Xenopus tropicalis: one gene and its partner. The protein of the gene in region 1 purifies or fractionates together with the protein of each later gene. This does not show direct contact. Links are inferred from orthologs where the notes say so. Each region holds a gene or a part of one and is shown in the gene's direction. Other genes may lie near its edges. The genes, in order: fos and stk40.

Region 1 (11,256 bases):
CTTATAAAATATGCCTGTATAAGTTAGTTAAACCACTTTTAGCCAACCGAGAAGCTGAGAAATACAGAAGGAGCCTGGGCTCCAGCAACAAAAGAAAACATAAAAAAAGTCTGCTGTTAGTAGCAAAGTAAAAGTCACCAGTCACACAATATGTCCTTCAGACTTTTTCTGACTTACTTGTTACCGAGTGTTGCACCTCCAGTTCCCGTTTCACTTTCTCTACAGCCCACCCCATTCTGCTGTTCCTCAGATCTTGGCCCACTACCTCCTTTGCCCACCTCACCACTCGCCCTTCGATGTAAAATCGCTCCTGCTACATGCCGGCCAGAGCACAAGAACACGATATAAAAATAACACTACTTTACAAGTAGCAAATATTTATTTTAACACTGCAATATATGACACACCACAGCTACAAGGACACGCATACCTTATGGGATGCTCAAACACTCGGTTACCTGCCACTATACTATGTCTGCACGGAGGAGTGCGGGAAAGCTTGGTCGGCTGAAGCAGCTTGTTCAGCAAGACCGATATCTTGCGTGCCGTGCCCCTCTCCGTGCTGGTAAACACTGAGAGAAAGAAGAGCTGCAATGACTGGTAGACCATGTGATCCACACAGCTTCAAGACGGGAAACAGATGGGGCCAGAGACGAAAGGCGTAAATATCGTGGTTAAAACACGCCTTCCCAAATAACAACACACAACACGTAGCCATAGTAACGCCGCACCCACTAGGCGGGAAACTGCACCACGTGACAACTATATGACGTGCTGTCTTACCCGTTCCCACGGAAACACACAATGACGTTGGCCTCCTGCCCATATTTGTCTAAGTGCGAGCCAAATATTTCGCCCTCACCATGGCAACAGCCAGAAGATCCGGCACGGCTTAGTTACAGTAGTGTTATTGGCTATCTCTGTCGTGGGGCGTAGCTCTACTTTCCATAGCAACGGTCTCCGGGGTTGGAAGTGTTTGTTGTGCTGTAACTTTGTGTATTAGGGTTGTACTTTTGTGTTTGTGAGGTGTTTGTAAACAGAAAGCGCTAGAAAAATGTGGCTTTAGTATCTACTTATACAGAAACTTGGAATATAAACGTAATGTGCATACGTTAAAAATAAATTGAGGTAATTAGAGATGCGTGATGTCACTAAAATAATGTAATTAAATACAAATATAGTTTTTGTACACGTATATGAGACATAGAAAAATATAAACGTTAATGTATGTTTAATTATATATATATGATTATGGACACCAACAGTACATACATACACTGCAATCAGCCGTTCAAACATACCTGTGTACATTATTTATATAGCATTATGTGGGTTTTCACTATATTAAGACAAAATTCAAGTTTTATTGGAACTCTGAATATCTGATTGAGTGCTTTAAGGTGTCTGCACTCTTAATTATATAGATTCATTTTGAATCTTTATGGTGAATACGTTTTGACCTTTGTCTTAGTCTGTAGACAGGTGTCGTTTCAAAGGTCCACTGAAGTGTGATAAATAAATTTACCCCCATCATTGAAATACACACCTCCACATACATATATACACTCTTGTTTTGCTTTTATATTCTGCATGTCTGCTCGTTTACAGCTTGATTGATCAGAGAGATGTTTCTGAATTCGAAAGCAGATATAAGACATGTGACGGCACTAGTGTGTTATACACCAGTGCAGATATATATATATACATACAGTTAAGAAAATTACGCATTGCTGTTACCTAAAATAAATATAGTTATATTCCAATTTATAATACTTTCCCAGTTCAATACTTTAATAAGGCAGTATATCTTTAGTAAGCTCTTATGGGCAGGGTCCTCTTTAGCTCTTGTATTAGTTATTGGTTGTTTGTACATGTTTTTTATTGTATGTTTAATGTGTATTAACCCATTTATTGTACACTGCTGCTGAATGTTTTATACATACATGTTAATATTATTAATTAATAATAATACTAAAACCTACATTATTTGTGGAGAGCAACTACAGGTTATATTGTAAAAAGTGACACACTATATGCTGTCAGTATGTGGAATACGGTAAAAAAAACTCAAGGAAAAAGAATTCATACTCTGTAATATCTGTCTTGCAAACTGAGGGTATAGCTCACTGTTTTCTGTTGAATATAAACCCTTTTGTAGTGCATTTTATGCTTTTAGTCTGATCTGTACATATCTGCTGTGTAAAGTGTATCCCTTAGTTTTTTCGTACATAACCAGTTTCTTCTGTGAAGACTTTAGATTGTTATTTGTAAAATGCCCCATGATCTACTGCTACAATTGACTAGTTGTGAATATATAAGCAAGGGATACCCCAGCCATCCGCCTCATGCTGGAAAATGTTGTCTAACTGGAAGAGCATTCTAAGTAAAGTTATGCGTGCAAGTTGCTGATGTCACTACAGGCAAAGGGAAGCCCATTCCTGGCCTCAACTGTGAGAGGGAGGGAATCCCTGTCCCGGCATCCGATGAAGGAGGGAGGAAGGGAGGGAAACCCTGTGTTGGCCTCTAATGTGGGTGTGAGAGAATTCCCTGCAGGCCCCAGGGGAAAGGAGATTGTACTTCCCACATTTGAAAGGGAGCCTCCAAATAGTAACAGGAAAACAAACAAAGCAGAATAAACCAAAACAGAGCATGAAACCAAAACAGATAGTATTTTGTTTTACCCCAAATTTATGTTTTTGCAATATACACAGAAAAGTATATGTATATAAATATGACAATGGTGTGGAAAGGCTTCACACTAATCTACTGTATGCCCCAGGTATCCTTGACTTGTTTCTATATATAGGAAATAGTATATTAGTATACATTAACATGTTGTGGTTTGTCATACTAATCAAACAACACCAAGCACCTTTGATCTGCCACATCTGTTTTTATATACTGTGTTACATGCATCATACTGCAAATTACATTAGCAGTGTTCGTATTATATGCAGAGGAGGGTGTGTTGATATTATAGACAAAGCAGGGCCTATCTGTATCATTATGCTCAGAATAGGTTAATCTGCAGAAAACATAATAAGGGTAGCCATCTACCTAGTTGGTAAAAATTATACTTGATGTCAATGTTATTACAATATATTAGTAATGATATATCAGTATTATATGCAGTGTATTTGTGTAGAATGGCAGCATGGACCAAGGAGCCCAGCACTGCAAGACAGCCATGCTAATCACTGTGGTTAGCACTGCTGCCTTGCGGTGCTGGGCTCCTTGGTCTAATTCTAGCCAGGGCTGTACAGGAGTACAAGAAGTCCTCCCTGTGCTTGCTTAGGGTTCTTTCCTGGACTTCAGTTTCTTCCACACTCCAATAACATATACAAAGAATTGGCGTCTGATAAAATTTGCGCTATTCTGTGTGTACATAAAAGAGACCTTAGATTGTAAACTGCATTTATATGGGAAATTATAATAGCATGATAATGATAATAACCTTGTGAAAAAAATATAAGCACTATATATAAATGATAATAATGCAAGATGTTTTGCTCTGTAGTGCTGAGCCAATGTATTTGTATAATACACTGAGCAGTTTGCTATTTTTGTTTCTGGAGCTGAGGGGGTCAGCGCAACAAAGATCAATATTAATCTCTGTTATACAGAATAGCTGGAGGCATATGGGGCACAGTGTGGTGGGAAGCTTGGAAAGGGGTCCCCAGGTGAAAACCAGGAAACCAGTGTAATTTTTACTGGGGCCCACAGTTCTTTAGTTAAGCCACTTTCATATTTTACATAGGACAAAATGTAATTGTATTATAGGCAGAACAGGGTATATGAATTATACAAATGTATCGCTATTCATTTTATAGATAAACGAAAGTGACTTGCATCATACATGTATACTCTACAGTCTACATCATTAACATGCAGAGCAGAATTTAACTGTACAGCGTTTGCCTTTTATGTTAAATTGCAGTGTATACCTGTATTACATAAACATAAAATTGTATTTTTTATTAAACACGGATACCGCGGATATTGTTTTCAAAAGGGCTGCGTAACCTTTTTCCACTCTTCAGTTTTACCTTTCTCCCAATTCGCACCCTCAACCCCTCCCTTTTTGTGTCTGTCTTTGCTTGCTAGGGCTCTTCCCGGCAGCCCTACCCCTAGCCGCCTCAAACCGCCCTCAAACAGGATGTTTTCCTTATAAGGATATCTGCGTCATTTGGATTCCCGAGTTCGGTGAAACCATTGGGTAAATCCGAGGGGGGAGACAAAAAAATAAGCGTTTGTTAGGTAATGCTACCTTGAATATTCATTTAGGTCATTGTCAAGAACTGAAGAATATTTGACATTCAGCACAATTAAATAGAAAACGAAAGCCCCGAGAGTTGATACTAGAGTTGCTCGTCCCTTTGAATAGTGGTAGGGTCTAACTCGTGACGTAGGCTTTGAAAAAAAGTAAAAAAAAAACCTCTGACAGGGTATAAAAAGCTGGAGAGGAGGCAAGTTCCTTCAGACTAATTGCTTCATCGTACGGAGTGGTTTGACAGCTTGGTGAGCCAGGACTGACGGTCTTTCTCTGTCACTTGCTACTCCCGGAGCTGGTTTTACATTCTTACCCTCAAAGGGCACCATGTATCACGCCTTCTCCAGCAGCACCGAATATGATGCAGCTTCTTCCCGTTGCAGTAGTGCCTCTCCAGCCGGGGACAGCCTGACCTACTACCCGTCCCCTGCAGCTTCCTTCTCTAGCATGGGGTCACCTGTTTCTCCACAGGTAAGTCATCTGATATATGATTTTAAGAGGGTGATGAAGTGTTTGCGGGTGGCTTACTTTACTGGTTGTATGGGTACAAGTAACTGGGTTTAGACTTGGCACCCGAATATCCATAGTCACTGCTCCTGGGACTAACACCCAAATCCTGGTTCATGTTGTAGCCCTGACTTCAACAGGGTCTTTGCACTCTCTTGCCCCTCCCCCCACTGTATGTGTAAAGCGGTTCCATTGATAAAAATCCAGAGTTCATTCAGGAGACTCCAGAGCTGTTCCTGCGTCACTAGTGACGGCGGAGCTATTTCTGTCATACTCGGGCTCGTGTGCTAGGATTGGAAATGCGGAACCCGGGTGGGATTATCAATTTCAATGGCTGGGTTGTGTGTGTATATTTGTATAGATACACATAACACTTATTGTGTGCAGTATTGCCGATTGTATACGTATTTTCTCTTCACTGATAGTCTCCTATTTCTACTTATGTGTTTTTAGGACTTCGGTGGTGATTCAAGCAGCAGTTTTGTACCCACAGTCACTGCCATTTCCACCTCACCAGATCTTCAGTGGCTTGTACAGCCAACCCTTATTTCTTCTGTAGCCCCATCACAGTCTCGGGCACACCCTTATGGGTCCACACCAGCTTACAGCCGATCTAGCGTTATGAAAGGATCTGCTGGAAGAGGTCAGAGCCTGGGAAGAAGAGGAAAAATGGAGCAGGTAACTGTCAGACCTTTGTTTTCCTTTAGTTTCTGCAATGCAGGTGTAGGTAGATGTTGTTTATCTATAAGCTACTTGTTTATTTATATTGACAGTCTGTCTTTTCTCTGCTTATAGCTTTCTCCAGAAGAAGAAGAAAAAAGGAAAGTAAGACGAGAAAGGAATAAGATGGCAGCTGCCAAGTGTCGTAACCGCCGTCGGGAGTTAACAGACACCCTTCAAGCGGTAAGTAGGCTACTAAATAGGCAGTAGTTTATATAAATGTTAAGATTATATATTATATATATATATAATATATATATATATATATATATTAGTTTGACTATATGCAGAGGGATGGAAAACATAAATGGGATCTATATTGCTCTCCATTCTTGGAGGATTTGATTGTTTGAGGTTCTTACTATACCACCTTCTTCCCTTGTAGGAGACTGATGACCTGGAGGACCAGAAATCTGCCCTGCAGGCAGAGATTGCCGGCCTTCTAAAGGAGAAGGAAAAGCTGGAGTTTATACTTGCAGCTCACAAACCAGCTTGCAAAATTCCACATGATCTTGATGGAGCTTTTCAAGACTTGACCTCATCTCTTGATCTGGGTCTGATTTCAGAGACCCCTTGTTCTTCCAGCTCTCAGGAGCCTGTAGCAGAGCCTCTGTTTCCCATTGGCCTTTCTCAGTCTTCCATGCCTGAAAAGGAGAACACCCAGCTGCAAGTCTCTATGGAACTCAAATCTGAACCACTGGATGATTTTCTGTTTAACTCTTCTCACACAGGTGTAACTGATGCAGCACGTTCTGTGCCAGATGTAGATCTTACTAGCTCTCTTTACACATCAGAATGGGAGCCACTGTATAGCACTTTATCTGCAGACATGGAGCCTCTGTGCACACCAGTTGTTACCTGCACTCCAACATGCACTACCTATACAACATCATTTGTCTTCACATACCCAGAATCTGACCACTTCCCCAACTGTGGAGCCGCACATCGGAGGGGAAGCAGCAGCAATGAGCAGTCATCAGACTCTCTAAACTCTCCCACCCTTTTGGCTCTGTAATGCTGAGGGACATTCACACAACCATTGTGAGATGCTGCTGGGGACTTTTACTTGTACTTGTTAAACTGGTTTATTTTGGTGCCTCCTTCCTTTGACTCCAAAATGCAATAAGGCACCATATGTGGCTTTTACTGTCATGCTTTTGGAACTTCTTCTTTGCTGCCATAAGTGTTCACTGTGCATGTCAATCCAAAAAATATGGTACTAGCATGTGACCTAGGCTCAGATATAGGTAATGTTTTGAAAAGTGTAAATATCACAGTGAGCACTGTACTAGGCCAAGAGTCTCCTACTTCCCAGTCATCACAAACTAGCACTAGATCCCTGTTAACTTATATGGTTGTGTAGTTGACTCCTACTTCCAACTGCCACTGGAGCCTGATACCTCTTACTGATCTGTAGCACTGGCATGGACTTGTTGTGAATTCTGTTAATATGTAGCATGATGTATCCCATACATTAACTGCTAGTGGCAATGACCTACGTTAACCTGTTTAGGTAATTGTGATATTGATAAAAGCCTTGTGCTGTTAGCTTGGAAATGTAGTCTAAGCTAGCTCACAGGAATGTTATGGTGCTGGCTGAGTACAAGGTGTTTAGAGGAGTTAGCTCTAAATATCCTTGTACCAGCCATGATATTCATTTGTAAGTCAGATATATAGATCATATATAGATATCCTTTTAAGGGCCGGACACATGGTGAACGTGCTGTTTCTTCCGTTGATTGTAATACTGTCTTTCCAAGTTTTCCATGAAAACGTTGATTTCCTGTAGATGGTTTTTGTTTTATTTATTATGATTGATATTGAAAATATTTATATTTTTATTTTCTACTTTGACATTGCGGACATTAGTGCCAATAAGTCTGGAGCAGGATCACAAGCATTTATTTTGCTTCTTGTCCAAGACACATAAGAATAAAATCTTTTTTTGCATTCACTACAGTTGTGTGTCTATTCTCACCCCCACCCCTTTCCCTTCCTTTTTAAGGGGAGAAACTATATTGTCAGGTTTACATTTTCTATCCATTTAGAAAGGGGTTGTCCAACATGTGTCCAGATGTGTGCTTCTTCTACCATGTCCTAAAAAGCTACCATGTCCTAAAAAGCTAACATCTCCAAGACCTTTTTAATTACAGCTTGATTGGGAAAACACCATAACATTTTTGCGTATAGCTTCATTTGTTCTCCAATACAAAATCTGTATTGTAACTGCTTTTTTTGGGGGCAAGTATTGGTACTCATGGTTAACAAAAAAACAACAACAACAACAACAACAAAAAAAAACTAGTTGCAAAATATACAAATAGTTGTGTACAAATCCTGAGTGGCAAGCTAAATGCCCAATTATTTTGGGCTCAAATAAATAGAAATGTTTGGTATTGTATGAACACATCAGCAAAGAAAAGGACCAGGCATTTTTTTCTGATTTAATGAAAAGAAAAAAGCGTAAAGTAATGCTAGGTGTCATGAGTATTTATGAACTAAATTGACCATCAATCATACAGCCCACAAGTCTTAAACCTCTCTTGCCATAGGCACTTGGATTGTGACTACTGAAAGCTGGAGATTCCAGCAAAGTACTTTCAGTGGCTGCACTGGGAAATGCCTTTAATTGCAGTTAGTGGGAAACTACAAATGGCAATCACTATCCTCTTATGCACTATTCTCATTATTAAAAGAGAAAAATCTTGTAGAATAGATAACTGGGTTATGTACAGTAATATAAGAAAAAATCCAGCATTTACACATAGCATTCCCTTGCAATTAAACTTACTCCCATCTTACTTTTTTCAGTTTGCTGTAGTTCTGACCAACTACACAACATGTCTACATCAAAGTGGGTGGGCCATTACATCACAATAAGAAATCAATGTAATAGAAGCCAGCTAACAGACCCAGAAGTTAACTGACCTGTTAAAATTAGATACCGGACAAAGAAAAATGCATACTTTAGTATTAAAATAACTCTTAGTTCCAAAGCAATATGCAATTGTTCTTCATTTTTATTTTGTGTTTTTTTAGTTATTTAGCCTTTTGTTCGCTGCTAAAATACCAAACTGGAGAGCTGCTGATCGGGTTGCTAAGGTAAATAAGAACATAGCAACCATAAAGATTCTAAAATACCAAACTGGAGAGCTGCTGAACAAAAAGCTAAACAAAAAAAAAACACAAAAAAATAAAAATGAAGGAATTTGATATAAATAGCAACCAAATAGAAATAAATGTAATAAAAAGTAGAAATAACAATAAAATTGTAGTCTTACAAACAATAATTTTTGGTGAGCCCTGTTTAAAAGCTGGAAAGAGGCAGAAGCGGAAAATAATTAAAAAACTATAAAAAAATAAATAAAGACCAAATGACCCTTGTGCCATTAGACTTTGCAACCTGGGTGCATACTATCAGGACCTTGGTTTAATTTTAAAAGGCTTACATGCCTCCACTAGTCACCACTCATGAATACCTGCACTCTTAAACACAGGCAGTGCTGTATTAATTGGGAAGGTGCCAGTCCAAAATGGACCTGTGCCTCACCAAGGGGCAGAGCCCAAATGAGGCACTGGTAACTGAGGAAGTGACACCATTAATTAATAAACTGCAGTTTTCCTAGAGATATAACGCTTGCTATGCATTCCTGCGTACCCATATTTTAGTGAACTGTATATTAAAACTACTTGAAGCATGTAACATTATTATCAGGTAGAAAGTAATTAAATTATTACACTCCTCCAATCATATATTTTCACGCAAATTAGTCAAAATACAAAGTTTTCAGTTTCAGTAAAATTTAATTTTCAGTAGCTTTTGTAAAATGACTGGCAGATACCTCCATGTAAATTACAGAATGGTGGCTCCAGCTACTAAGTATTACAGTGCTGGTTTTCCTCCTTCCTATAAGATATGCATTTGACAGCTTTGGTGTCACAGTTTACTTACTCTGCAAGTAATTTCACTGATAAATCTGACATACAGGGCTGCCATGGGGGCAGTGTCAGAGTACCAGGAAAATTCCCAGTGGGCCCTCCAACTTTTTGCCATTTGATTATAGTATACAAAGATAAAAAAAATAGGAAAATATAGAGACTGAGTAAGAAGTGGATGAAAAAGGCCTGATGAATTCTAAGGACCGGGAAAGATGGACAGGACATTTTTACTTAATTTTCAGCAGCAATATTGGGTCTTTCTGCTCCTAGGCAAGCAAGGTATCTGCGCTTCTGCCAAAGGTACAAAATAAATGCTTAGGCAGATAAAAAAATCTTTGCAATGTTTCAAAAATAACAACTGAAGTGGGCATTTTTGCACAGACATCCACCTTTCACTGCTCTGTGTGTTTGGCAGCATGCTTCTAATTGATTTACATTGTAAGTGGTAATAGGTAGACAGAAGCAATTTTAGCCACAGCTTCCCTCTGACTGGGAACAGTGGTGGTCAAATGTCCACATGCCATTGGCTTTAAAAGGGATTGCTTATAAAATGAATCGTGTTTTAATGAGAGAACAGAATGGAGCACACCCGTCACCAAAATAACAGCCCTGGGGGCAGGTTAAAAAATAGAAATATACAGTGGCTTGCAAAAGTATTCAGCCCCCTTGAACTTTTCCACATTTTGTCACATTACAGCCACAAACATGAATCAATTTTATTGGAATTCCACGTGAAAGACCAATACAAAGTGGTGTACACGTGAGAAGTGGAACGGAAATCATACATGATTCCAAACATTTTTTACAAATAAATAACTGCAAAGTGGGGTGTGCGTAATTATTCAGCCCCGAGTCAATACTTTGTAGAACCACCTTTTGCTGCAATTACAGCTGCCAGTCTTTTAGGGTATGTCTCTACCAGCTTTGCACATCTACAGACTGAAATCCTTGCCCATTCTTCTTTGCAAAACAGCTCCAGCTCAGTCAGATTAGATAGACAGCATTTGTGAACAGCAGTGTTCAGATCTTGCCACAGATTCTCGATTGGATTTAGATCTGGACTTTGACTGGGCCATTCTAACACATGGATATATTTTGTTTTAAACCATTCCATTGTTGCACTGGCTTTATGTTTAGGGTCGTTGTCCTGCTGGAAGGTGAACCTCCGCCCCAGTCTCAAGTCTTTTGCAGACTCCAAGAGGTTTTCTTCCAAGATTGCCCTGTATTTGGCTCCATCCATCTTCCCATCAACTCTGACCAGCTTCCCTGTCCCTGCTGAAGAGAAGCACCCCCAGAGCAGTACCGCCGCTCCCTATACGCAGAGTACGCACTCTGCGTAGGGCACCAACACCCAGGGGGGCACCCAGCACCGCCGCTCCCTACGCAGAGTGCGCACTCTGTGCAAAAACATACCAAGCAAGTCTTCGCCAGCGGCTCCTTCTCTCTTATGCCGCGGCAACAGGCCCTTTTATAAGGTTGCACCCGTGCGTATGACGTCAACCTTATAGTAGTGCCTGTTGCCGCGGCATAAGAGAGAAGGAGCCGCCAACATCACTGGTCTGTTGGGGGTACTTTCTGTGGGGGCAATTGGGGGCTCTGTGTGTGGGGGCTGGCTACTGTCTATGGGGGGTACTGTGTATGATGAGGCAATTGGGGGTACTTATTTTTGGGGGCACTGTTTATGGGGGCAATTGGGGGTACTGTGTGTGGGGGCTACTGTCTATGGGGGGTACTGTGTATGAGGCAATTGGGGGCACTTTGTGTGGGGGCTACTGTCTATGGGGGCACTGTGTGTGTGCGGGCTACTGTCTATGGGGGCA
Region 2 (11,181 bases), on another chromosome or scaffold:
CCTCATCACTTCACTGCCCGCCCACCTGTCTGGAGTGCAAGCTGTTGAAAGATGGCAATCCTACCTAACAGCCTTCTGCACATTGAAACGCTTTTTATTACAGCATTCATAAATGAGTCCTGTGTCCACTTAAGGCTACTGCTTTACCAGGTTCATTCTTGACCTGTGGATAAATGCTTGCCTCAGCCAACTGTTGTGACTGCACCTGGAGCCACTGTGTTGGCCCAGGTGCAGACACAAAGAGCAGTTTTCAGCACTGAAATGCATACTTGTACCATCTGTACAAAGCTAAATACTGATTGGTTGTTGGTGGTTATAATACAGGTGCAAATTATCCCTATGTTAGTAAAGGAGACTGCAGCTATTGTAAATAAGGAGCAACTTTATAGGAGAAAGCACCCCTGTACTTAAAGTAGATCTAAACCCACAAATATGATTTGTGTTTATTAATAAAGAAAATCGAAGCAATTTTAATTTAAATATCCATAAAAAACAGTTGGTGCTTTTAAAGTTATTTGGAAATGTAAGCTAAATTGAAAGCAGTAGTTTTCAGTCTCTTTCTGCACCTCTGGTATTGTCTCTTGAAACAGCTTAGCATTAGTTCAGCCTACTTATTTACAGGTCTAAGTAGATAGTTTCTGCTATACTCTTTCAAAAGTCGGAACCATCAAGGCAGGCACCTGAATGGTACAGTCACATGCAGCTTTCAGTAGCAGTCAGATTTACGTATAATATACAATTTACCACCGGAGTGTCGGGAGATAGAAGTTAGGGCAATCTATCTAAGAATGGCAGTGGAAGGAGGCTCATAGCTATCCCACCCACCCCCCACCTTGGATAGAGTTGTACATAACAAGGCGCAGAAGACTGTAAAAATACAGAAAATGGAGAACACAATGTGTATAGAGGAAAATCATAACCAATAACTGTTTGTGCCTTTTTTTTTTTTTCCACTTTACGTTCTTAATTGTAACCTCCTAGAAACTCCTTGCAGTGCCCTTGCTGGAACTGAAGCAACATGTCAAAAAAGCAGTGCTGACCATTGTGCCACCATGTGTCATCTGTAATACCTACCTTGAGAACCTAAAGAGATTCATTAGTGCATTGAATATACACACAAAACACAGAAGCTGGGCTGTAGGAAGAAATAGGCAAACAAAACCAATGATTCAGTGCTGCATTATTAGCAATACTGGCACATTTCTTCATTTTATAGGAACATGTCTGTAGCTTTTGGTGAATCGTTCTGAATATTGCACTTTGCACATTTCTTAATAAATCTTAATATAGTTAATTTTAAAATAGGTCTAACTTTTTCAAAAGAAACAATTACAATCTGCAATAAATGCAGAGTGTAGTGTACAAAGTGCAATTTAACCATGGATTTTACCCACAAGCCAGTTTCCCCCCCCCCCGTATTCCAGCATAATTGTGGTCACAAGGTGGCATTGCAGCTGATGCAAATTGCGGCTGATAAGTTAAAATGCACATAACTGCACTTGCACTTAGACACGAATCGAATGCAGTTTCGGTGTTGGGATTTCACCACTTCTGGTGCTTGGCTCCAAACTAACACATTTGCCAAAATCTTTATATGCAAGTATGCTGTGTTCATTGCATTAATTGGTACACTGTGGCTTATCACTAGTGTCAGCTGTTTTCACTCTTTTATTTTTACCTCACCATCTGACACTTTGGGTCACTTATCCACGAATGCTCCGAGCGTTCATTCTATCGGTCCAATTGTATTTTCTGCGACTTTTTCGTACCTTGTGCGACTTTTTCGTATTTTTAGCACAAAAAATCGGATCGGTTATGCCGCTGTTTGCAATCATTCGGTGAGAAACTTTTGTGACTTTCGGATCGCCAATACAATATTATCGTGACTAATATGATTTTTTCGTAAGCATTTTTGTGATATTTACAATCTTCAGAAATTTTCGTTTCCAATCCGAATTTTTCCCATTTGGGATTCGAACTCGTGTTTTGATAAATCTGCCCCTTTGTGTTGCTGTCTAAAGGTGGCGATACACTTAGCAATTCCGATTTTTCCTGCAACCATTGGTCTCACGAAAGACCGTTCCCACCCTTCACTGACGTTCAGGGCTGAACCGTCAGATATGGAGGTAGAAACAATTGAAATTCTACCTCTACCTGGTGCTTCAGCCCTAAACGTAGATTTTGCTCGGGGAACCTTCAATGGCGCCCAATCAAAATCTTTTAACCTGGCCGATCGTCGAGTCGACCGATATCCGCAGCCTTTGTGATATCTGTCACCTCTTCGACCTGTCATACATGCACCGAATATTGTACGAAGTGAGGTTTCGTACGTTAATATCGTGTATGTATGTGCGTGTATGGCCGGCTTAAGGGTAGTAAGTGATCAGCCCTACACCTGCCCTAGGGCCAATCGATCGAATAAGCCTAATATCGCCCACCTGTAGATGGGCATATCGGGAAAAGATCCGCTCGCTTGGCAACCACGCCAAGCAAGTGGATCTTACCAGGCCTGGATTTGTGGCAAAGCCACAAAGGCCTGGGCCTAGGGTGGCATAAATTTAGGGGCCCAACCGTAAGTAAGATTTGCTTACATATGGTTGATCGCTTACTTAATACTTTTAAAGCCAAATAGATTAACAGCTACTCTGCCTGGTCCATTCAGGGAATAATTTGTTTTCCCTTAAACCCAATGACATTTTCAATTAACATATATTGGAAAGTTGCCTGGATTTGCATTGCTATGTAATTGCAACAATTTAAGAGCAATTAAAGCCCAGTTATAAGTTGTATTATATCATTAGGCCTGGGCTGTAACCTGAAGTCAAATTTCCAGAATTATTCAGCCCAGACTGGCAATCTGTGTAACTTGGCAAATGCTGCTATGAGATGCCATAGACAGTCACTATTTATTGGGCTGGTGGGGGCTGTTTTGGCCCTCTGTACCTATAATGCAGGGCAATTTTAAATATCTCTCTCAGGACCTGCTACTATGTGACCTTGTCTTACAGTAGTTCTCCTGTCTCCTCCTTCAGGGAACACTATAGCTTACCAGTCCTGGCTTTTTGCCAGTTCTGTGGTGGGGGGGGGGTTGGGTTGACAAGCCAAGATGGACAATAAAGTAACAGTGAATTACTTTCAGGGCCCTCAAAGGAAACTCAAAATTCTCCTCTGTCCTCTCTTTTTATGATGGTGTTGTTGTGCCACTCAGAATCAACCATAGGAAGGTGTTCCAGGATGGCCTTAGCCTAGCCCAGTGATCCCCAACCAGTTGCATGTGAACAACATGTTGCTTGCTAACCCTTTGGATATTGCTCCCAGTGGCCTTAAAGCAGGTGCTTATATATGAATGTCTGGTTAGAAGGTAAGCTTTGATTGCATAAAAAAAAAATCAGTGATATTGCCAAGCAGAGCCTTCTGTAGGCTTCCAGCCAATTATATTGGCTATTTTATTGGCACCTCCAGGAACTTTTTTCATGCTTGTGTTGCTCTCCAAATCTTTTTTCATTTGAATGTGGCTCACTGGTATAAAAGGCTGGGGATCCCTAGCCTAGCCTATGTTGCCTTTCTATAATTCCATGCCTGACTCTACTCAGTACCTTACCCCCTTCCTTCCCCCAGACCCTCACAATTGTGAATCCATCTCCTCTGTTTTGTACCACTGGATACCGTTGTTGTGCACTTCCAACAGCTCTTATGCCTCCCCCATTTTAAAATAATTCATATTCTGGGTATCACCATGCTTTAACTGTGCATTTGTAATCCGCTGCAAAGTAAGTTAATAGATCTATGTCTGCCCAATGAGCCTCTATCCATACAGCCTATGGGTATACATTCTATTCACTATATTTGATAATTTGGACATTTACAATTTTCAGCCAATCTTTCTCATTGCTTTCTTGTGTGTGTCACTAAACTGGAGACAGTTGTGCATGCTGGAAAATCATCAACACTCCTTGGCCATTCCAATGTTTTCTTCTAAATATGTGATTTCTGTAAAAGCAGCAGCTCTGGTACAAATAAGAAGATACAATATGCTTATACGGTACAACGAGTCTGTATTCTAAACAGGTATAGGTAGGTAGAATAAATAAAATTGTATGAATTGTTTAACTAATTGATACAAGTCTCTGTGTATTCACAATCCTTTTGCGTTCATGCCAGCGTGCAACAAAATCTTGAATCAAATCAATCAGAATAATTACACCTGCATAACAACACCGTCCCAAACTAATCTGATGCAATAATAATAGTGAGGTGTGAGACTCTTTCTGTCCTATTTAATCAGTATAAGCGGCTGCAATAGTTATTCCAGTTTCATTATCTGGGCTTTAAATCACTCTTGGCAGCGGCCAATCAGAGCCGCCTCCATTCACAAGCATAAGCCATTCAGCAGCGCCATGATCTCATCACCCTCGTAGCTTTGGGGGCGTGATTACACGGCCCCCGTAGGTTTGGAAAAGGGAGGGCTCAGTCAAGCCAATAGGAGGTGACTTTAGGTGTAACAGGGCGGGGCCGAGGTTTTGTTAGTCTTGTTTCGATTCGTTGCCGTTTTTTTTACAGCGCCTGATGCGTAATTTCCGTTGTCAAGTGCGCAGCCATGGAGAGCCGGGGTCGGTGAGCGGCGCAGGCCCGGTGTCCGCTGTACCTTACTCCTTAAGCTGAACCAGAGCGATGTGTAAGAACTGAGGAACACGGGCTGGCTTGTGTCACAGGTAATAAGCGTTCGGGGTAGCTAAAGGGCGTGTGAGGCACGGGAAAGGAGGATAAGGAATAATGCTGGCTTCTGCAACCTGTGGCTCCCCAGTTGTCCCTGAAAATCAAATCTATACACCGTACCATTCTCCGAGTGTGTTGTGGTCGGAGGGCGCATGTGTGCGGGTTTTTGTTATGTTGCAGACACCGGAGGGACCGGCTTCTGATACTAGTAAGGGGCCAGGGCTATAATGGGTGTTTGGTGTGTAGTTAATTTGCATGTTGCTAAAGGAATACGAACGCATCAATCACGTGCTGTCAAGATTCCATCGTAACTGTAATCTGCGCTGTAGTTACAACCGTGCGCTATATGTATTATTCACAAGAGGGGTATGCTGAAGGCTAAGAATGGAAGCACTGGCTTATGTTATGGTTACGTGATTTGCTTTAAAAAAAATTACATTAAAATTTGCCTCTTTAACCCTACTCAGCCACCACCCTGACCATGCATTATAATTTGCAGAGATTATCCATAGTTTACATTAATCCCTGTTGCAGTGGAGAAAATACAAACTCCTTGCACATAGTGCCCTGGCTGAATTAAAACCTATAATATCAGTGCTATACACTCCACTATTGTGTTGTCCAGGTAGCTGCTGCATGGTTGGATACTGTATTTTCTACATAGTTTTAATCAGGATCGCCACTGCAAACCCCCTTGCAAGTAGGGCCCAGTGTGGTTATTCTTTGGTGGATATGTGCATCTGTCCCGTAACAAAAAAAAACCCAAGGTATTTTCCTGAAGCAGCTAGACAGGTGTTACAATGGTGGGGTTGTCGTAGTTCAGATGAATGAAAGGCAGTTGTTAGAGATATGATAATATATATTTTAGAGGTCACCTTGGTAAACAAAGGATAGTGAACAAGGATAATATAGTGATTGGATTACTGTAATAAGCATTGTTCTATATTTAAATTGCTACACTCTTTAAGTCATTCTTGATTCTTGCTAATAAACTTGTAAAGGATAATGAACTAGAGACTAACATGGATAGTGGCACTCCATTGTTGATGTAATTCAATGCAAATGAAAAACACAGCAGTAATCTGCAGTTCTATTCTGCAGTGATTGCTTTGTTTGCAGGTAAAGTAAATGCCTTGGTTATAATGTGGCAGGGAAAGAAACAATGTAGGATAGCCAATATGGTTGTTTAATGCCATAAAACTAGAATAGGGGGGGGGGAGATTGAGGTTTAGGCTATTGTTTACATTATCTGTATTCATGAGATACTACTTTGCATTTCAAAGGATTGGAAAGGTCTGTTTGTTGTAAGGCCAATACGAGTTGAGATGTTTTGTCGCCCATGGGAAATTGTCAGAAAATTCTCTTTGAGCTGGAAAATGGAGATTACCACCTGTAAATACCTTCCATTCAGCAACCTAACGATTATACAAAGTTAATAGGAGCTGTAATATTATCTGATCTGCCAATGATCTATCCAGGTGCTAAGAAGGGCAGTCTGGGTGCAGTTTTAGGGCTCTGGCACACAGGGAGATTAGTCGCCCGCGACAAATCTACTGTGTCTCGGGCGACCAATCTCCACGAAATGCCATCCCACCAGCGAAAATGTAAATCGCCGGTGGGATGGCATACGCGGCGGCGCGATTTTGTTCCCTCTCAAGGCAACTTGCGCTATTTCACTGAAATCGCGCCGCCGCGTTTGCCATCCCACTGGCGATTTACATTTTCGCAGGTGGGATGGCAATCCGGGGAGATTAGTCGCCCGCGAACAGGGAGTTTTGCCGCCGGGCGACTAATCTCCCCGTGTGCCAGAGCCCTTAAATCTCAAGAAAATACTTACTTTTTACTCTGTATGGATCTTTATTTCCATTTATGACATACCCACCAGTCACTGTGCACATGGGGCAAATTGTGCAGATTTTGGCACAAAAATGCACACATAAGCTTTTCTGCGTGTATGCTGATGAGCCGATTCTGTGGCTTTTAGTAAACGTACAGTCAGATTTTTTTATGCCAACAGAGAAACCGACTTGTGTGTCATTAACCATTGTGGTTTTTGCACCTGACCAACAGCTCCATTGAAAACAATGCAGTTTAGACATGATGAAATTACTGTGCGTTTGTTTTACCAAGGGATAAAAATATCTGAATACATCAGAAAATATATTCATTAGGCATTACAGTTTTAAAGGGACAGTAACACCAAAAAATTAAAGTGTATAAAAGTTATTACTATATAATGTAATGCTGCCCTGCACTGGTACAACTGGTGTGTTGTCCTTAGAAAGACTACTATAGTTTATATAAATAAAGCTTCTGTGTAGCCACGGGGGCAGCCATTTACAAGGGAAAAGGCACAGGTTACTTAGCAGATAACAGATAAAACCCCATTATATTCTACAAAGCTTATCTGTTATCTGCTATGTGCCTGTGCCTTTTCTCCTTTTTCCCAGCTTCAATGGCTGCCCCCGTGTTGACATAGCAGCTCATTTATATAAACTATAGTAGCGTTTCTGTTGCAAACACACCAGTTTACCAGCGCAGGGCAACTGTACATTATATTTTAATTACTTTAAAACACTTTCATTTTTTGGTGTTACTGTTCCTTTAAGCTAAAGATGATTCTGTAGGCTAAAAAGTTATGCAAGGTGGAAACAGGGGCAGTTAAAATGCCAATCTCCATCTGTCATAGTAAACCATGAGAAGCGCAGTGCCCGATGAACACCTAACCCATCTCACATAAATGCTTGACCAGCCTGGCACCATTGCTTACACTGCAGGCATAGTGGTCCCCATAGATTACTATACAGTTTTCTCAGCGGCATAAGCACATGGCATATGTGACTAAAGATTGAATTAATATAAATAATAGAGTTCAGATCTGTTGGCAAGTGCCCAACAATGTTTTGAATGAAAGGTTGGAGATAAAACTGTATCTCCCCTCTGCAAGAACAAAAATGTACTGTGAAGGAGGCAAGAAAATCTACCCACTGGTGCAAGGGGATTGACAAGGAAAATGAAAGTAGGTATAACACATGTCCTCGTATGTGATAATAGGCACTAAGTTTGCACAGAAGTGGTAACCACTAAGTATGTTCATAGGCCTGATTAAATAAAAAGGATATTGTAATGCAGTGAAGTCCGTGGAGCCTCTCAGCACTGAAAGTCTTAAAAATCCTTTGGAGGGCTACATCCAGCCCTGCAGGCCTCCAGTTGGACAACTCTGATCCATAGCAATCAATAAAATGTTTGCTTTTAAACAGCTGACTGGATTCTACTAATTGGTTTATATGGTTTACTGCACTTTTGTTTTTACCTAACCCCCAAAGTCTTTGACAGGTAAGCGTAGCACAACCAAAGGCAGTCCAGAATAGCTCAGGAAGTTGAATGTTAATTTTTAGCAAAAAAGTGTTGTAGGGTGTTTGAGTTAATGGTAGCACAAGTTTGGGACTTGACTGAGCAAAACTGAATTGGAACTGGAAATCAAATGCAGTTGTCAAAAGCAGGTTAAGTAATACATGGGGAGCAATTTGAAGCATAGCACAGAACGGGTGATCAAGAAGTATAATCCAAAGACAGGAATGGTGGTTAGAACTAGGATTTGGAGGCACTAGAGGCACCAGGTCAGAGGAGATAACACTACTTAATAACTAAGCAAATCACCTTGAGGGGGACTGGTCCAGACATGTGCTTAACATGTCTGTGGATGAGGTAAAGGGGTACAATTGGTTTATTTTTATTTCTCTCTAGAGCTATAGATGAGTTACTTTTTCTTTTTCCCACTTGTAGAATGTTTTAAATCTTCCATGGAAATAATGACATTCGTTTTCTCTTTGACTTACTAAAATGACACAGTTGTGGGTGGTGGTTTAGGCTTTACTAAGATGCCTTTTTATTGCTTTCTTCTTTGAAATAAGTGTTGCCAATTTTGGTTTTGCTTAGTCAGTCCTTGGGAGTTCTCCTGCCCACTATCATCCCTGCATGACAGGTTGAGAATGAGCTAGTCAGGTCCTTTTTGTGAATGCTGAATAGCCCCCTGTTTTTTTATCCAGTTCTGTTTTTTTCATGTAGGTGGTAAATATAATTTAACTACTTTTAATTAAAAAAAATGTGCATTTGCTAGTAGAGGCGTGACTTGCGGGCGTTAAAGTTTGATAAAAAGGTGTTTATACAGTAGTTATTCACTTAGGCTGTGATTTGCATGTATACAATTTAAACTAGCAAATTTAAAGAAAGTATTGAAATTATAATTTAGTATAATTTAGTATAATTATAATAATGCACTAAAGGTCCCCATACACGGGCCGATAGTAGCTGCCGATATCGGTCCCTTGGACCGATTCAGCAGCTAATCGGCCCGTGTATGGGCAGAACCGAGCGGCCTGGCCGACCGATATCTGGCCTGAAATTGGGCAGATCTCGATCGGCCAGGTTAGAAAATCCAGTCGGATCGGGGACCGCATCAACGACATCGCCAAGCGAGCGGATCTTATAGTGTATCTTATAGTGTATATTTATGCATTGCCAAATTGGCTGGGACAAGCCAAGGTCTGAATACACTGATCAAGCAGGAAAGCTATTATTTTTTGGCTGCTGGTTGACTATATGGATCCCAAAGATACAGGCATAAAATTTGCTTACTTTACCATAGGTTACTTCTGCAATTGCGTGACACACAAGGACCCCTTTTGACTTCAACTACACTGGAATTTTGGAAAAAATACTGCATTATGCGAAAAAAGGTGACTCTTCAAAATTACACTTTGCTCTTGCTGCACTTATGGAAGTAAATGATCCCTATATTTGTTTGTTGGAGCACCGAGGATATTAACAGCAGTTAGATGGTGGAATCTGTTTCCAGGGATGTTGACTAGTTTTCTTCCTCTTAAAGGAAAGCCCAAGTCACTTGGGGGTGCCAAAATGTTAAGCACCCCCAAGTGACTTAAATCGCTTACCTTCTACCCCGGGATGTTACCCCCCTGTTAAGAGAGAACCCCCCTGTTAAGAGAGAACCGCACCAGCCCAGGGTAGCAGCGAGCGCTTCCTTCTTCCACGTAGTGAAAAGCCGAACTTTAACAACAAAGTCGGCTTTTCACTCTAATGCGCATGCTCTGGCCCAGGTTTTTCGCTGTGGAAGAAGGAAGCGCTCTCTACAGGTACCCCGGGCTGGTGCTGTTATCTCCTAATAGGGGCACCAGCCTGGGGTACAAGGTAAGCGATTTAAGTCAATTGGGGGTGCCTAACATTTTGGCACCCCCAAGTGACTTAGCCTTTCCTTCTCCTTTAAAGGGATTCTGTTGTGATTTTTATGGTGTACTTTTTATTTCAAAATTACACTGTTTACATAGCAAATAATTAACTCTACCATTTAGGGTGAAGACACACAGAGCTACTTAGTAGCAGCTACAGTGTCTTCACCCTAAAAATGTTGTTTTTGAACCTGCAAATTTAATTTTTTTAGTTATAATATTGGTGTGTAGGCTGCCATATCAGTGTATTGTACCTGATTCTGAGCTTTCAGAAGGAGCTAGCGCTACACATTAGAACTGCTTTCAGGTAACCTATTGTTTCTCCTACTCCCATGTAACTGAAGGACTCCCAAGCCAGACTTGTATTTCTTAGTACTGAGTGCTATTCTGATATTTGAGCAGTGTAGCGCAAGTGAATTCGACAAGATTTGGATAGTGATTGGATGTGTAATGTAAACAATTACGATTGTAATTGTATGCGTAACAATTATAATTCCTTTGACCATTGGTCGCAGGAAATATCATTTGTTAGTCCATCATGTGTGGGATTCAGAGTATTTTGTAAGAAATTTGGTTCATTGGCTCCTAAATTGAGAGGCTGCATCCTTTAGGGGCCATGAATCAACGAATGTGGATAAATGACCTGGTTACTCCTAAACTTCTTTGGGGGCTTTAGCATATTGCCCTCTACAACTACACTAGCTTACTGTACAGAATGTACACAGCAGCTACAGTTTAATTGCATTGTACATATACTCCATTGCTGAGAAATGCTGCATGTTTTGCAACAGAGCATAATGCTTGTAGAAATGCTGCAGGACACACAGTAGGCTGCAGACTGTAAATATGTATAATAAACATTTATTTGTACATGAATTTTATATAGTGCCTTGTGGTGGTATCTTTATAAAGAAGCCATTCAAAAGTAATGTTTTGTCAAAGTTTTGTAGAAACTGCCACCCAGTCAGAGTGAGTTAGTTTTGGAGATCCTCATTACTTGACATAGTGAATTTTCTCTGGTTGAGCATTTATTATGGCGTAGCAATAGGCATTGAACAGAAGCAAAAAATGCTGCCTGGTGTTCATTTCCTCAAGCTTAGTTGGTTAATATGCAAAGAACATGTTCCCACGCACCTCTTCTTAAAAGAAGCTTTGTTCTCCTGGAAACTCTTTGTACACATACATGTTTGAGGCATTTTCACTCATGTAGAAGTGTCTC

Evidence for each region.
Region 2: the proteins of fos (region 1) and stk40 purify together in Homo sapiens (affinity purification with mass spectrometry; 3 studies listed by BioGRID and IntAct, counting the BioPlex papers as one, with this or other methods). This does not show direct contact. The link is inferred for Xenopus tropicalis from reciprocal best matches to the Homo sapiens genes FOS and STK40.

The regions. Positions count from the first base shown.
Region 1 is NC_030684.2:82,305,856-82,317,111, reverse strand, and holds fos (proto-oncogene c-Fos), read left to right. Parts: upstream 1-4,512; 5' UTR 4,513-4,597; coding exon 4,598-4,741; intron 4,742-5,230; coding exon 5,231-5,455; intron 5,456-5,572; coding exon 5,573-5,680; intron 5,681-5,882; coding exon 5,883-6,512; 3' UTR 6,513-7,452; downstream 7,453-11,256. UniProt on the Homo sapiens protein: Nuclear phosphoprotein which forms a tight but non-covalently linked complex with the JUN/AP-1 transcription factor. In the heterodimer, FOS and JUN/AP-1 basic regions each seems to interact with symmetrical DNA half sites.
Region 2 is NC_030678.2:86,282,792-86,293,972, reverse strand, and holds the start of stk40 (serine/threonine-protein kinase 40), read left to right. Parts: upstream 1-4,587; 5' UTR 4,588-4,712; intron 4,713-9,364; exon of another isoform or gene 9,365-9,455; intron 9,456-11,181. UniProt on the Homo sapiens protein: May be a negative regulator of NF-kappa-B and p53-mediated gene transcription.